Linked DNA regions of Drosophila melanogaster. The protein of the gene in region 2 interacts with the protein of the main gene of each other region in a pairwise test. Each region holds a gene or a part of one and is shown on either strand. Other genes may lie near its edges.

Evidence for each region. The genes of interacting proteins can lie anywhere in the genome.
Region 1: the proteins of CG1648 (region 2) and Peritrophin-15a interact in a two-hybrid assay, tested with the Drosophila melanogaster proteins (one large-scale study listed by BioGRID).
Region 3: the proteins of CG1648 (region 2) and CG31775 interact in a two-hybrid assay, tested with the Drosophila melanogaster proteins (one large-scale study listed by BioGRID).

The regions. Positions count from the first base shown.
Region 1 is NT_033779.5:8,394,186-8,397,702, forward strand, and holds Peritrophin-15a (Peritrophin-15a), read right to left. Parts: upstream 1,912-3,517; 5' UTR 1,878-1,911; coding exon 1,868-1,877; intron 1,797-1,867; coding exon 1,528-1,796; 3' UTR 1,480-1,527; downstream 1-1,479. Other genes in the region: lectin-29Ca, read right to left, coding at 1-85; Peritrophin-15b, read right to left, coding at 348-619, 687-696; CG13385 (uncharacterized protein), read left to right, coding at 2,555-3,517.
Region 2 is NT_033778.4:9,810,059-9,815,901, reverse strand, and holds CG1648 (uncharacterized protein), read left to right. Parts: upstream 1-3,127; 5' UTR 3,128-3,153; coding exon 3,154-3,178; intron 3,179-3,237; coding exon 3,238-3,420; intron 3,421-3,933; coding exon 3,934-4,424; 3' UTR 4,425-4,583; downstream 4,584-5,843. Other genes in the region: lectin-46Cb, read right to left, coding at 1-197, 250-387.
Region 3 is NT_033779.5:14,735,611-14,739,571, forward strand, and holds CG31775 (uncharacterized protein), read right to left. Parts: upstream 2,160-3,961; 5' UTR 2,121-2,159; coding exon 2,109-2,120; intron 2,042-2,108; coding exon 1,784-2,041; 3' UTR 1,480-1,783; downstream 1-1,479. Other genes in the region: CG31835 (uncharacterized protein), read left to right, coding at 341-1,390.

The sequences.
Region 1 (3,517 bases), on a different chromosome or scaffold from region 2:
TGGAAGTATCCTGCTTTTTGGCACTGACGCCCCAAAAGTTCCATAAAGCGAAAATGGAGAAAATGCAAGTTGCGTACTTGTACATTTCGAGGGCTAATAGTCTGTGAGATCAATTATTTAATTCCTCCTCGGACTAACCCTTTTTTTTACACTTCCCAACGAGATAATCACCCGGAACATTAACCTTTTCAAGCATTAAATACTCTGTTAAAAATTCGATAAAGATCCGAGAAATCTAGAGATATATTCTAGACTTCATTCAAGCCCATCTTCCCAGTTAAATACCATTACAAATGAACCAAAAAAAGTTAATGAAAAACGTATAAACTGCAAGAGAAGTTTATTGCTTAAGTGGATGCTTCGGAACATGGAGGATACCACTGCCAAACGCTCCAATCGACGCAGCTTCCAGTTTTCGGATCGAATCCAGTGTTCTGCTCGCAGGCAACTAGCTCGGCCTGTCCGGTGCTAGAGCACTGCCAGTAGTGGGTTGGATCCCAGAAGTCACGGGAAATCTCTCCGGAGCGTCCCACGCAATCGGGCTCACCATTGCCATCGGGATTGCAGTCAAGGTCGGCGTAGATGGCAACGCAGAGGGTCAGGAAGAGAAGGACTAAAGCTGAAACAGAATTCCGCTATTGGCATCTCAATGGTTTCAGCGATGTGAGGTCATCAATGAAACTCACCTGCTTTCATTGTGGTTTGTTCGAGTGATTAATACCGAATGCGATTGGAACGCAACGTTCGACATTTTATAGCCACCTGCTATCTATTCCCTGACATATTGTCTGAGACAATCGGAGCTATACATTCTATTTCTTAAAGAACATGAAATCGTTTAAAAATAATCTCATGATCACGATTGGTATCTGTATCTCGACAATTCGAACATTTGACGCCGTCGTACAATTCGTTTTCAAACAAAGAAGTATATTTCACCAAGTGTTGTAGTATACTTAGTTATGATATTAAAATATTATTGAACAAAAAATTTGCATATGATTTGTTTGAATTGACCGGCTCCTATTTAGACAATTTATACCCTGTAAAACTTTACACACTGAGACACAGTGTTTTTGAAATAAACAAACAAATTTTGAAACCAAGCTCTAGTTAAAAAATAAAGTTGTTTGTAAAATTAAAGTATATTGTTTATACTTTATATGATAAAGTATAATTTACTTTTCTCTCGTTCATAAACATTTTATTGCATTAAATGCAAATTAGTAGCAATACGAGTACTGTCTAATCTTTATAGGTTTCCAAGATATCATTTGGACAAAAACATCTCAAAAATGTTATTTACAAATAATAATGAAACTCGTTAACACTCAACTGTACTCAACATCCTATAGAAAGCGACTGAGCAGAAACAAAATATTCTATATACCAATCTAGGTTGCTCTATAACATTTTCCCATATCTTCGAATACTCGCAAGAACATGAGATATTTTAAAAATCCAAACAATGTATGTAATCATTTAGTTTGCCATATATTTTCATTTTTGTTGTTATTAAAAATGCAATCAACAGTAAGCAGTCCAAGACCATTCGCTCCATGAAACGCACTCCTTCTTTGTGGGGTCGAATCCAGTGGACAACGGGCACAACACAGCCGTGGCCGTGGAGGTGGAGGACTCACACCACCAGTAGCGAGTGGGATCCCAGAAGTTGCGGATGTTCGTTTGCACGTTGGATGCGTCGCTGCAGTCGGGCTGGTTGTCAGAATTGGGATCGCACGCATTTCCGGTGCTTAGGAGCGCCACGAAGAAGGCAAGGCAGATCAAAAGTAGTGCTATGGGATCGGCAAAGGGTTGAAGTATATTTCAAATGGGGATTCCTTTTCGATTTGCTCAGCTAACTTACCGGACTTCATGGTGCAATTGAGTTCCCACTGGTTTCGTAAGTGTGCTTTAACTGGGCGAATTCGCAAGCTTATATACCCCAGACCGGCACTGATATTGGCTTTCATCAATAGCAGTTATCTCCGTTGGCGGGAAGCCTGTGCGAAATTCTATTTTGGCAGCGACATGAAATCGTTTCAAAATAATCGCACCTTGTATCGCCCACCGTATCTGTATCTGTATCTCAGCGCATTGTACGCGCCCCTAAGTTTTGTTGACGCAATAGTTTGATTATATGGATGTGTCGTAAAGGTCATGCCGCGTGCCACAATCCAAACTGGGTAGCACTCCTATCAATAAGTTAAATATAGTACAAAACTAGGACAGTAAGGTTTATAATCGAAATTTAAATTTGGGGGCTTCTATTCAAATACCTAATACTTAACCGTGGGGAACCCCACATTCTTAACGCAAACAAGTCATTAGAATTACGCATTTATATTTATATTAATATACTACCCTTAACTGTTGGTGATAGCACTACCGCACTACTAACCTGGTTTTTAATCAACCCATCCGCTATACCGTATACCATACATATCGAAATATAAAACTCCAAAATATAACATTAAATCGCAGTAGGTGTCACACAACTAATTATTTGCGATATTAATGATTACAAATTGCTCGTGATAAATCTCCCATAGCGATGGAGTCGAGGGTCACCAGCGGCACAGGTCCACCGAACACCATTATGATCCAGCTGGTGTCCCAACAGCCCAGTTCCTGTGGACAGATGCAGGCCATGCCCATTTCGGTGCAGACGATACCCTTGTTCCCCAATTCCAGAACATCGACAGAGCGACCTTGTCGATCGGTCTCCATTGCCCCGAATGTAAGACCTCCAACGGATGTCCCTCCTCCTCGAAGGAATTTAAGAATCCGACCCGAGGAATATGCGACACCCAAGCGGAAGAATTCGCAAAGCCAGTTTCGTCATTTCTCCCGCAGCATAAACCAACCTCCACCGGTGTACTATGTTCTTCGACCAGAAGACCGTATTATGCCCATCTACATACCACCTCCGAGGTTTAACAATGAGCAAGGATCAAGGATGGCGACGGAGTGTCCTTGCTGTGGCCATGCCAAGTCATTGAACCCGGAGGAACCTCTAAGAGTCCACGTAGCGCAGAAAGAGTTTGTCAAATTAGAGAAGGCAACTCCTGGACATCGGGATCAATGTACTAACACCATTGACCAGCCAGATGTGGGAAATATAAGGACGATTTACGAAACATTGGGACGCGCAATGGTCACTGCAGCCGTGGAGGCAGCCCAGAGATCCCAGCCAGCAGGACCCTCAGATCCGACAAATGTAATATTGAAACTATTAACCCAATTGGGGGAGCAGAATCAAACAACAGGCTTGAGTCCACATTCAGAAGCAGTAGCAGAAAGTCCCGACCACCAACCACATATGCGCAGGCCCAAAGCTAGCTTTACGGAAGCAGTCCGCATGATGGAGAGGACCTCGTCTGATCCTTCCATTGCTAAAGGGCCACCAGATGAGCTAGATGACCAACGTAGGCTTCCATCTGTACTCTCCGATGGTCGTCTTCGCGTCGAATATCCGAAAACGCCTAGACCAACACCAACATACTCCGTCGAATCT
Region 2 (5,843 bases):
TAGCGCACCAACCGACCGTTGCTGATGTACTGGAAGCGACCCTCGTGGTACAGATCGTTGCCCCCGAACCAGAAATCCTCCGTGTTGCCCAGGCCACTCAGGAACCCAATGGCTCCGTCGAAGTCCCTTTGGTTACTCAAGTCCGCCAGGGTCAGTCCTTTGCGTAGGCAGTTGTTCAGGGCGCCAAACCAGTTCATCTGAATGGGTTTCATATTATTTCATAAGCCCATGCGACAGATCAACTCTTACCTTTTTCACCGAAAAGTAGTAGCACTTGCCGTTGATCCTGCGCAAATAGCGACGCGGGCAGGGGGGTCCTGATCCCAGGAGCTCGCCCCGCGGCAGGATGCTCAGCAGGGCCACGAGTGCAGTCAGGAGATGCTTCATTTCGCTCGCTTCCGCCGGTGCACAGTGAGCCGGCTCAAATCGCCTCCTGTACTTATATCCTCCGCTGGCCAGCAGTGCGCCCAATCGATTTGGAGCTCGCTGGAGCTGGAGCGGCATCTTCGGCAGCATGGCCAATTCAATTACAAGTCCATGCCGCCGGAATGCCTACGCCAATGTCGTGGGCTAATTTGCTCACCCGCCAGTGGGTCAGGTTTAGGGTCATTCAGTTTAATTGGCTATTAGATACACTCGAAGAAAACGAGCCGGAAAAGTCGCATGGGGTGCTGTAATTGCCAGTAATGTTAACCCTCTAAATTCCTTGATGGCAATTCATCCGCCTAATAATGGGCATATTGCGAGTAACTATTATATCATATATAGATGTTATAAAATTGTAATACAAGTTTAATGCAAATAAATTAAAAGATTATATATATGGTTTTGAAATAAGCAATAATTCTTAGCAGTATTCTAACTCATTCGAAGGTAGCAGAGCTTTCTTCTTCTGGAGTATGATGATGATAGATGGATATAAAATGCTTCAGTTCCTTTGACCCTGATCTGTCCTCCCATTTAGTTTGTATCTGCCGAAGTGAGTTAATTGCTGGCTATGAACTCGCTGGTAATCTTCAACAGCTCAAAAACGCTAAGAATATTAAGTTCTGTGATTCGAGCAACTGGAGTGACTTCATAGTCATTAGCATAACCCGCCCGAAGGGCTAGATGTCTGACCCGGCCTTGTTCTTTCCGATTATTGATTTACCTGGCAGGGTCGTGACATCAGCCATTGGATTGTCCGTGGCCAGGACACGAATCGCCCGCCTTTCCTTCTGTTGCCAGCTGACTCAGACGACCTTCGGTCGGATGACGATTGCGCCGGGTGGCCACAACAATTCGTGGGGCGTGTGAGTACCACGCCACCCCTTTCTGCCACGCGCGCTACTCTCACATATATAATTCTTTCGTATATTGTATCTCGATTGTGCAGTTGTATCTCACATGACATCATCAGCAATGGCAACAACAACGGCGGCCCCAGTAGCTCCATCGATTCATCACGGATTGTAGCTCTTTTTTTTAAGGCATCCAGAACTGGTGTGGAACGTGAGTCGGCAGACCTCAAATCGCAGTAACTCATAGATATTCGTTCCATGCCCGTATGTGTGTCCGTTCCGAGCTGGGTTCCCATGTAGCCCAAGCTACAGCTACAGCTACAGGTTTTCCTCTATCCGAGGCTTCTGCGCATTATTTCAGCTGCGAGTGCGACATCGACGAAAACAAAATCAGAGAGCAAAATCAAAATCCAAAACTAAAACCAAACCAAAACCAAAACAAAAACGACGCCAGAGGCTGTGAGAGAATCTGGGCTTATTGTGTTACCTTTTGGCCATGCTTCTAGCCGGTTTTCAGTGTTGACCACAAGTTGCCACAGTTTTGAATAAAGACTGAAGAACAAAATGCGTCGTATTACGCAAATGCCTTAAATAGGGCCGCTGGCCTTAGGAATTCCGCGTGTGTAAGCCATTAAGATATATATGTACATATATCCAAAGGATTTGGCGGGGAATATTAAACACTGCGGTTGCCTTATACGTAAGGCCACCTTTTTTAAGTTTAATAACTTATCATTCTACGAATGTATTTTAAGTATCTTTAAATACGATTTTAATTTGGAAAACAGCACAATATACTTAGCATGCATCTCTATACATATAGTTACATATTGTACAGTGTAGATTGCACGATTCCTTCCACTTAAATTGCTATTCTAGATTCTAGATTGTTAAGCAAGTCCAATGCCACATACATACATTCCTTAGCCATTAGCCATTAGCATTTGAAATGTCTGAATTCCCTTTGATTCACCCTGTTTTTTTTGAGCAGTAAAAGTAATTTTCAACACCTCGGCCGAGCCCACACATTCCATAATCTCGATACCCAGCAAGCGTAGAATAGAAACTATTATTTTCGCACAATTTTCGGCTCCTGCGGTGGCGATTGGCTCATTAAATGCGAAATGCGAAATGCGAAATTGGCCGAAACTAAATTATTTGGAAATGAGCCGAGTGTATGGGGCCATTAAAGTATCTCTGCGGAGAGAACCGAATCAGAATAAACACATTCCCGATCACAATCAGAAAGCGTGAATAGACCGCACTAGAAACTTGGGGGCGATTTCATTCGCCGGCTGCCCATTATGACATCACATACGCCGAATAATTTGAATACTCGAGCTTTGTTTGCCTCATTCGCATACAAGCATACTGTATATTACAAAGAAATTCCTCGGCTATTTCCGCCCGTTTCCGTTTCGCCCAACCGATTCGCACCCGGTTCCGAGTTGAGCGGCACAATGTTTCTATTTGAGTGGACGCACACGTCACTCCCAGTGAATGCAGATTCGAGGGGACAGCAAAAGCTGGCGCTCGTTAATTTCTATTAAATTGCGAATATAAGTCTCAAGTCTCGAATTTTAAGGCTGACGCCATGGGGCTGGCGATCACGATTTCAACAGCCCCTAGTTGCGCAGTTTCTATTAATAGGAAAGTGTCCCAGTCTAATCGATCCGATTTAGTCATGTAAATAGTTCATGCTCCAGCTGCTTTGTTTATGTTTCGGCAATTACCTGTCTGGAATTTGGAATCTGAAATCTCAAATCTCGCATCTTCGATCTGATCGGCGCTCCACCCTGCTGATTGCAATCAGGCTATAAATTATAATTAGCGCCAGGCCAGAGCTTAGTTAGCATTCAGAGGGCCAGTCAGCATGTTTCCTAGTCGCCAAAACCAAAGTAATCCCATCCAGCCAGCACAGTCAGGATCTAAAATGCACTCCTCATTCAATCCCCAGCTTCCTTGAAGAACTTCGGTGACAAGACCGCCAACCTCTTCAGCAAGAAGAAGGATGAGGCCGAGAAGCTGGCCAACGAGAAGGCTGCCGAGGCCCAGAAGCTAGCCGAGGAGCAGGCCAAGAAGGTGGGCCAGTCCGTACAGCAGACCAAGGGCGAGGCCGAGCAGTTGGCCGCCAGCACGGGTGAGTAACGAACATCCAAAAAATAATGAATGTAACACATAAAAGATGTCTTAGAGAATTAATTGGAGTTATTAATTCTAAAGACTTCCAAAAACTCTTGCAACGAAGAATTGAATGAGTCCCGTTTGAGATAACTTTCAAAATCAACTTTCAGTTCTTGCTAAAAATGTTTTCTCATTAGCATTCCATTTCCAATTTATCTAAAACGCAAATCTTTTAAGCATATCAAACACAAGAGAACTTAATAAATGGAATTCTTTAGTGACGCGTTGACGTAAAACATGTTTCCAAGAATAAGATTCGCATTTTTGAAAACATTTCTTCATAAATATTGAAATATTTCTATAATTGTGAAAAGCAATTTAATGTGCTAGAGATTTATAACTAAACAGAACATCAATGCTATGTTTTATGCTGGAGCAAAGCCCGACCAATTCAATAAATATCTTTAGGAGCACTTTTAAAGATATTTTGTAAGAATTTTTCCCACTAATATCTCTCTTTATCATACAGCCAAGGAAGCCGCTGCTCTGGCCACCGCGGAGGCTCAGAAGGCTGGACAGGCGATTGACCAGGGTGTGAACCGTGCCGCCGGAGCCGTCAACCAAGGCAAGCAGGCGGTGGACAACACGGTGGCCCAGGCGGCGGCCGTGGCCCAGAACTCCAAGCAGGTGGCGGCCAATGTGGCGGAGGCCTCCCAGCGAGCGGCCGCCAATGCGGTGGACCAGACCAAGAAGGCGGCCAACGACGCCATCAACAAGAGCGTGAAGGCCGCCGAGAACGTGGCGGACCAGAAGCTGAAGCAGGCGGAGGGCGCCATCGATGGGGCACTGAAGCAGACCAGTCAAACGGTGGACCAGAAGCTGCAGGAGGCCAACCAGTATGTCGACCAGAAGCGCCAGTCCGTCGAGAAGACCGTCCAGGATGCGGCCGGACAGGCCCAGGAGTCTGCCGGACAGCAGGCCAACGCCCTGTTGGGCAAGCTGCATCTGGGTCAGAAGTAGAGGCGTCTCCCTTCGCGGTGCCACCTAAAATATCTTGATGTGAAAATGCTTTAGATACAAAAACAAAAAAAATAGAAAGGAATTTGCTTCAATGTAACGAGTGCCAGTAATGTGATTGCTAAATCCTCAATTGAATATACACAATATATATATATATATATATTTACATATTTTTTGAATATCGCGCGGACGGATTATTTTGCAGCCGCTGCTTTCGATGTGAGCATTTCAGCACATCCTCTGTCCGTATCCGTACAAAGTGTAATTAACCCCTTCGTTCTTCTTCTTCGGCCGAATTTTGTTACTTTGAGGCATTTGATATTTTATATACAGCTGCGCTGAGTATGCTTTTAATATACGTATATTCTGTTTATGTAGAGATGTATGATTAAGTACCTTTAACTCTTGCACAACACATTGCAAATGTGTTTTTAATATATTGGATTCGAATGAGATTTGTGGTCTTTCAATTGGTGGGGGTGCCACTAAGCAAAGCGTATTATATGTATATATTTGGATATACTGATGTTATGTTGATTATATTATTACTGAAACTTTTATTAACTCATTTTCAATTTAGCGCCAAATGGTGATGTATGGTAATACTGTAATCTGGCCACACTGAATTTACTTCGGCTGCAAGCGCAAATAGCGCCACCTACATGTGGGATAGAACGCTGAATGGTTTGAAAACAGGGTATCCATGTTTTATCTCGCTTTTACCGTTTCATTCAAAAAAATTAAATTACTTTTTAATGAAGTTTTCAAACTACAAGTTTACTTGATGTATTTATTTGGGCTTACTATTTAATTACTGACTTATCTTGGCCATTGGTTGTTCAGAAAATAATATTATTTCTGGACATATTTTGAGCATATAATTACAGCTATATACAATTTCTTTAATAAAACCAATAAATCAGTTATAAATTCTACACATTCCACTGTTCACCCAAAAGTGGTAACATTTTATTTTGCTTCTAAGACAAAAGAAGTTTTTTCCGGCTTACCCTTTCCCCTTCCTCCAGAGCTGCCTGTCTCATTACAGAACCTTTTCACAGATCCAAGGTGAGCAGCAGGGGAAACTTTCGCAGAAAAGCGGACCATGGAGATGGACGGATCTATACAAATAGACCGAAACATGCAGAAATCTGCTAATAGAAGAGGTCATATTGTGTACTCCGATATGTCGGGCAACTTTTCGTCGAACAGAAGCCGAAAGTTGTGTTAGGTTTTAATTATGGGAAAAGTTTGTTGTGGCTAACAAGTGACCCCGGTGCATTGCAACGTCAATTGAACGCACAACTTCAAAGGACCAAAGGACGAAAGGACCAAAGGACGAAAGGACGCTAGGAATGTGTGCAAAGTATTGGCAGCAAAGTGCTGACATAAATTCAGGTAAGAGCGATTTTTAATTTC
Region 3 (3,961 bases), on a different chromosome or scaffold from region 2:
TATTTGTCACGTAGATAGCTGTGCTCACCGGACAAAATAGTACAGTGCATGTTTATTTAACTTTTTTTTCGCTGTACTTAAGGTTCCAAAAATAAACATTTGTTTAAAAGAGGCAAAGGAAATATGTAGAAAGCTTGAGTAAGTTTGATACATTTAGGTTGAAAAATAGTTTTAAAAGTAGAATTATATGTTATTACCAAACGCCCCGAAATATTTTACATCTATGAAAATCATGTCATTGTATAGATTCGATTTGTTAAAATTTAGAACCCTTTTGCCCGTTTTTTCGACCAGAGTTTAGGTATATTCGCTAAGAACGAAGTTAGCACAAGGATCGAGGATGGGTCACCGCAACATTTGCTGCAACGGCTGTCAAATGACGATCTTCCAGGGTAGCCGCTTCCGGTGTTTGCGCTGCGTGAACTATAACCTATGTGACATATGCTACGATCATCAGATAGAAACGGAAGAGCATCGCGCCAATCATCCCATGCAATTGTTCCCTGACTCGGACGATCTGGTTCCGCTGCTTTACGGCGAAATCCCAGAGCTGGTCCACCTGTCCAATTGCTTCACCTGTCCACATTGCGGCCTACTTGCGCTCACAGCGAAGCGGTTCATCGAACATGTTTACGTTCAACATCGGGTGTCCAATGAATATGTGGTCTGCCCCATGTGCGCCGGACTGTCGGCCGCCGAACTGGTGGCCATACGCCACCTTTCCAAACATCTCCTGCACAACCACATCGATCACGCCAATTACCTAGAGCCCGACACACCGCCACTACGCCGAATATTTACCCGTAATCACATGCGCCACCACCGCCAATCGCAGTTGCAAACAACTCCGAATTCAAGGATATTCGATATATCCGTATGGCTGTCAACTGGACGTGTGAGCTCCGATCCCCAGCTCCTAAGCAACAATGATCCTCCAGAGGAGGCAGCCAATTCAGAGTCCCTGGCGTTAGGCTTGAGTTCCGGGGGGCCATTCGAACACGACGACGACAGATATGTTCTACTTCAGTGGATTGCACAGCAAAAAGTGCAGTGCCACGATACGGACGAATCTCAAAGGCTGCGGCGAACCCTCTTCGTTGAGCACTTGCTGATTTCCATGCTGTGCTGCGAGGAGTTGCAGTTGCCGGATGGAGACAGACGAATACGGGAAGGAAATGGGGAGAGTGATCTAGACCAGGAAAACCATAGCAGTCTGGTCAAGGTCATGTCAGTGATGTCACTGCCGTGGACAGGAGTTTGGCAGACCAACCAGCTAGACGGATCGGAGGGGGAAGGCGAGATACGGGCAGCCAAAAAAGATGGAGTCGATCTGGACAAGGTGCAGATCGAGGAGCACAAAAGGGTGGCTGCTGAGGAGGCCATTGATTAGGATACTCGAAATTGTATCTGTTTTTTCAATCATGTTGAATCCGCTTTTTAGTTGCGTTACATATTTCAAAGAAAAACAAAATTTTTGTGAAAATTTGGCTTATATTTATAATATGGCTTTTATATTTTGGCTTTTATTTATATTTACAATGTTTTAAGTAAAACCATTTGAACATCTGAAAGAGAAGATATTTCCCGTTGTCCCTTATGTTAAGTGTATTTATTTCTGGGCACTATTTAATAAATATAAATGAATAATAAATATAAATTTATTTTCATAAAACTCATAAATTTTCGAGAACGATAAAGTAAAAAATTCCAATTGTTTTTTTATCATAAAGGTGTCATATTTTTATTGAGGTATCTGCGTTAAGACGGTGCTATGAATTGGTTTTTACCAGCCTTGTTGCTGTTGCTGCTGCTGATCACCGAATCCACCTCCGAATCCACCTCCAAATCCTCCTTGCTGCTGCTGCTGCTGATCACCGAATCCACCTCCGAATCCACCGCCAAATCCTCCTTGCTGCTGCTGCTGATCACCAAATCCACCTCCAAATCCTCCTTGCTGCTGCTGCTGCTGATCACCGAATCCACCGCCGAATCCAAACTGAGGTAGGGCAGCGGCCGCGGCGAATAGGGCAATGAAGAGGATCTGTAACAATATTAAAATCAACTTAGTTCTTAAAGGTTTTTCTTTGAAGCGTATATGTAAAACGTACCAAAAACTTCATGGTGCTGATACTTCGGTTAGTCTTGCTAATGTGAATAAAATTTTTGGACGCCTCCGATCTTTTATACTCTCCTGCAATCTCATCATGTCGTCACGCGCCGAAGTATTATCAATGTTCTGACAAAATCAAGTACAATTAACCCAACAAAAATACGAAAAAAATTTCCAGACGTCTGGGAAATTAATATTTGAGCACTGTATCAATGCCTATGCTCAACGGGGGGAACCCTTCAACATCAATCTTATCTGGGAAGTCGAGCCTAATCTAATAAGTCCGCAACAGTTGCTAAGAAAAACTAAGGGCGACTTAGAAGAAGACGTTGTTTGAGATTACTTTAGATCATTTATGTTCCGTTTTCACGCATCACAAACGTGTTACGGCAACAAATGTTCTTGTTTGCTTTTCTGGGTTATCATTAGACTTTCGAAATGAGGAGGGATAATTAAGTATGAAATCCTTGTAATCATGGATTAATTTTTTATACATACGTATAATTATGTTATGTCTTTGAATTTTAGCGCTTAACAGGTTAGACCACTATAGTCGCATTCCTCGATTATCAGATACCCATTTCTTAGCTAATAGAAGAACTAAGATATTTACAAGACAAGACTAGATGAAATCAATGAAGAATCTAGAGTGTTGTTGGCACAGGTTCTGAAAGAATTGGAACTATTTAGAGGTCTGAATCTCATTCAGTTCATACAGACAGGCTTACAGACAGATGGCCAAACGAATACGGCTAGATAGACTCCGCTGGTGATGCTGGTGAAGAATATATATATTCTGTATAGGTAAAGGTTCGGCAACGCCTTCTTCGAACTCCCACAGACTTTTTAAAGAATTTGGTATACTCAATTACTCCACAAGTACCGTCTATAAAAACATAGAAATTATGTGTCTTAAAAAATTGTATTTATTAAACTAATAAGACTAGTTTATTTCTTTACATCCTTTTTTTTAAAGAAATATTATTTGTATTTTTTTTCGCTGTGTTTGGTTACATTCAAAAACATTTAAAATTTTCCAAACCAATTGTACTTTTTTTGAGAGCAAATTCAGCCTAAAAGAATACTGTTAAGCTTGTGAATTTAAATGCAGCGCTAAAAAGTCTTCGCCGTTTCTTATACTTTTTTTTTAGTGGCAATTGAAAAGCTTTTAATCGGTATATAGCTAATCAGCTCCAAAATAAGCAAAACAAATTAACAAGAAGAAAGATCAGGCTAAAGGTCCTCAACCCCTGATCAGAAATCAGCTCTGTTAATGCAGTGCTAGAATTTTGCTACCTCATCGCAGACGCTTAATCTAATAATCACAGCTTGGGGTATATAGATTTCGATAGGAAATAATAAGCAAAAAATAAGAAAATTTTGTTTTTATTACTTTGTTTTGGTGCAAATCGCTCCATTCGGCTTCCACCTGCTATATGTTTATTAAACATCTTATTTTTAAGAGTGTACTGAATCCACCACAATGGTCGCCGAAAGGGGGTGGTGCAAGGGCGGAGGTGCATGAAGCCGGAAAACTTCTATTACAACTGCCGCGCACCAAGTCGGGAAAATTAAAAAGAAGAGAGCGAGATGGAGATTCAAACCGAGACAGAGACAGAAGAGTAACTAATGGCACAACAGCCACATTTAGAACCGATGTGTTCAACGCAATACCTACTAAAATAGCAATTTTTGTGGATTTTTTGGGTTTTGAATTTTATGTGTACACACACTGAAGCTGTATTACATTTGGACATATGTATAATTATAAATTCAAGCTAAATTTTCAGCTCAAGGGAAGTTTAATTTTCGATAACTGCATTCTGATTTGAGCAAATATAAAATATCCTT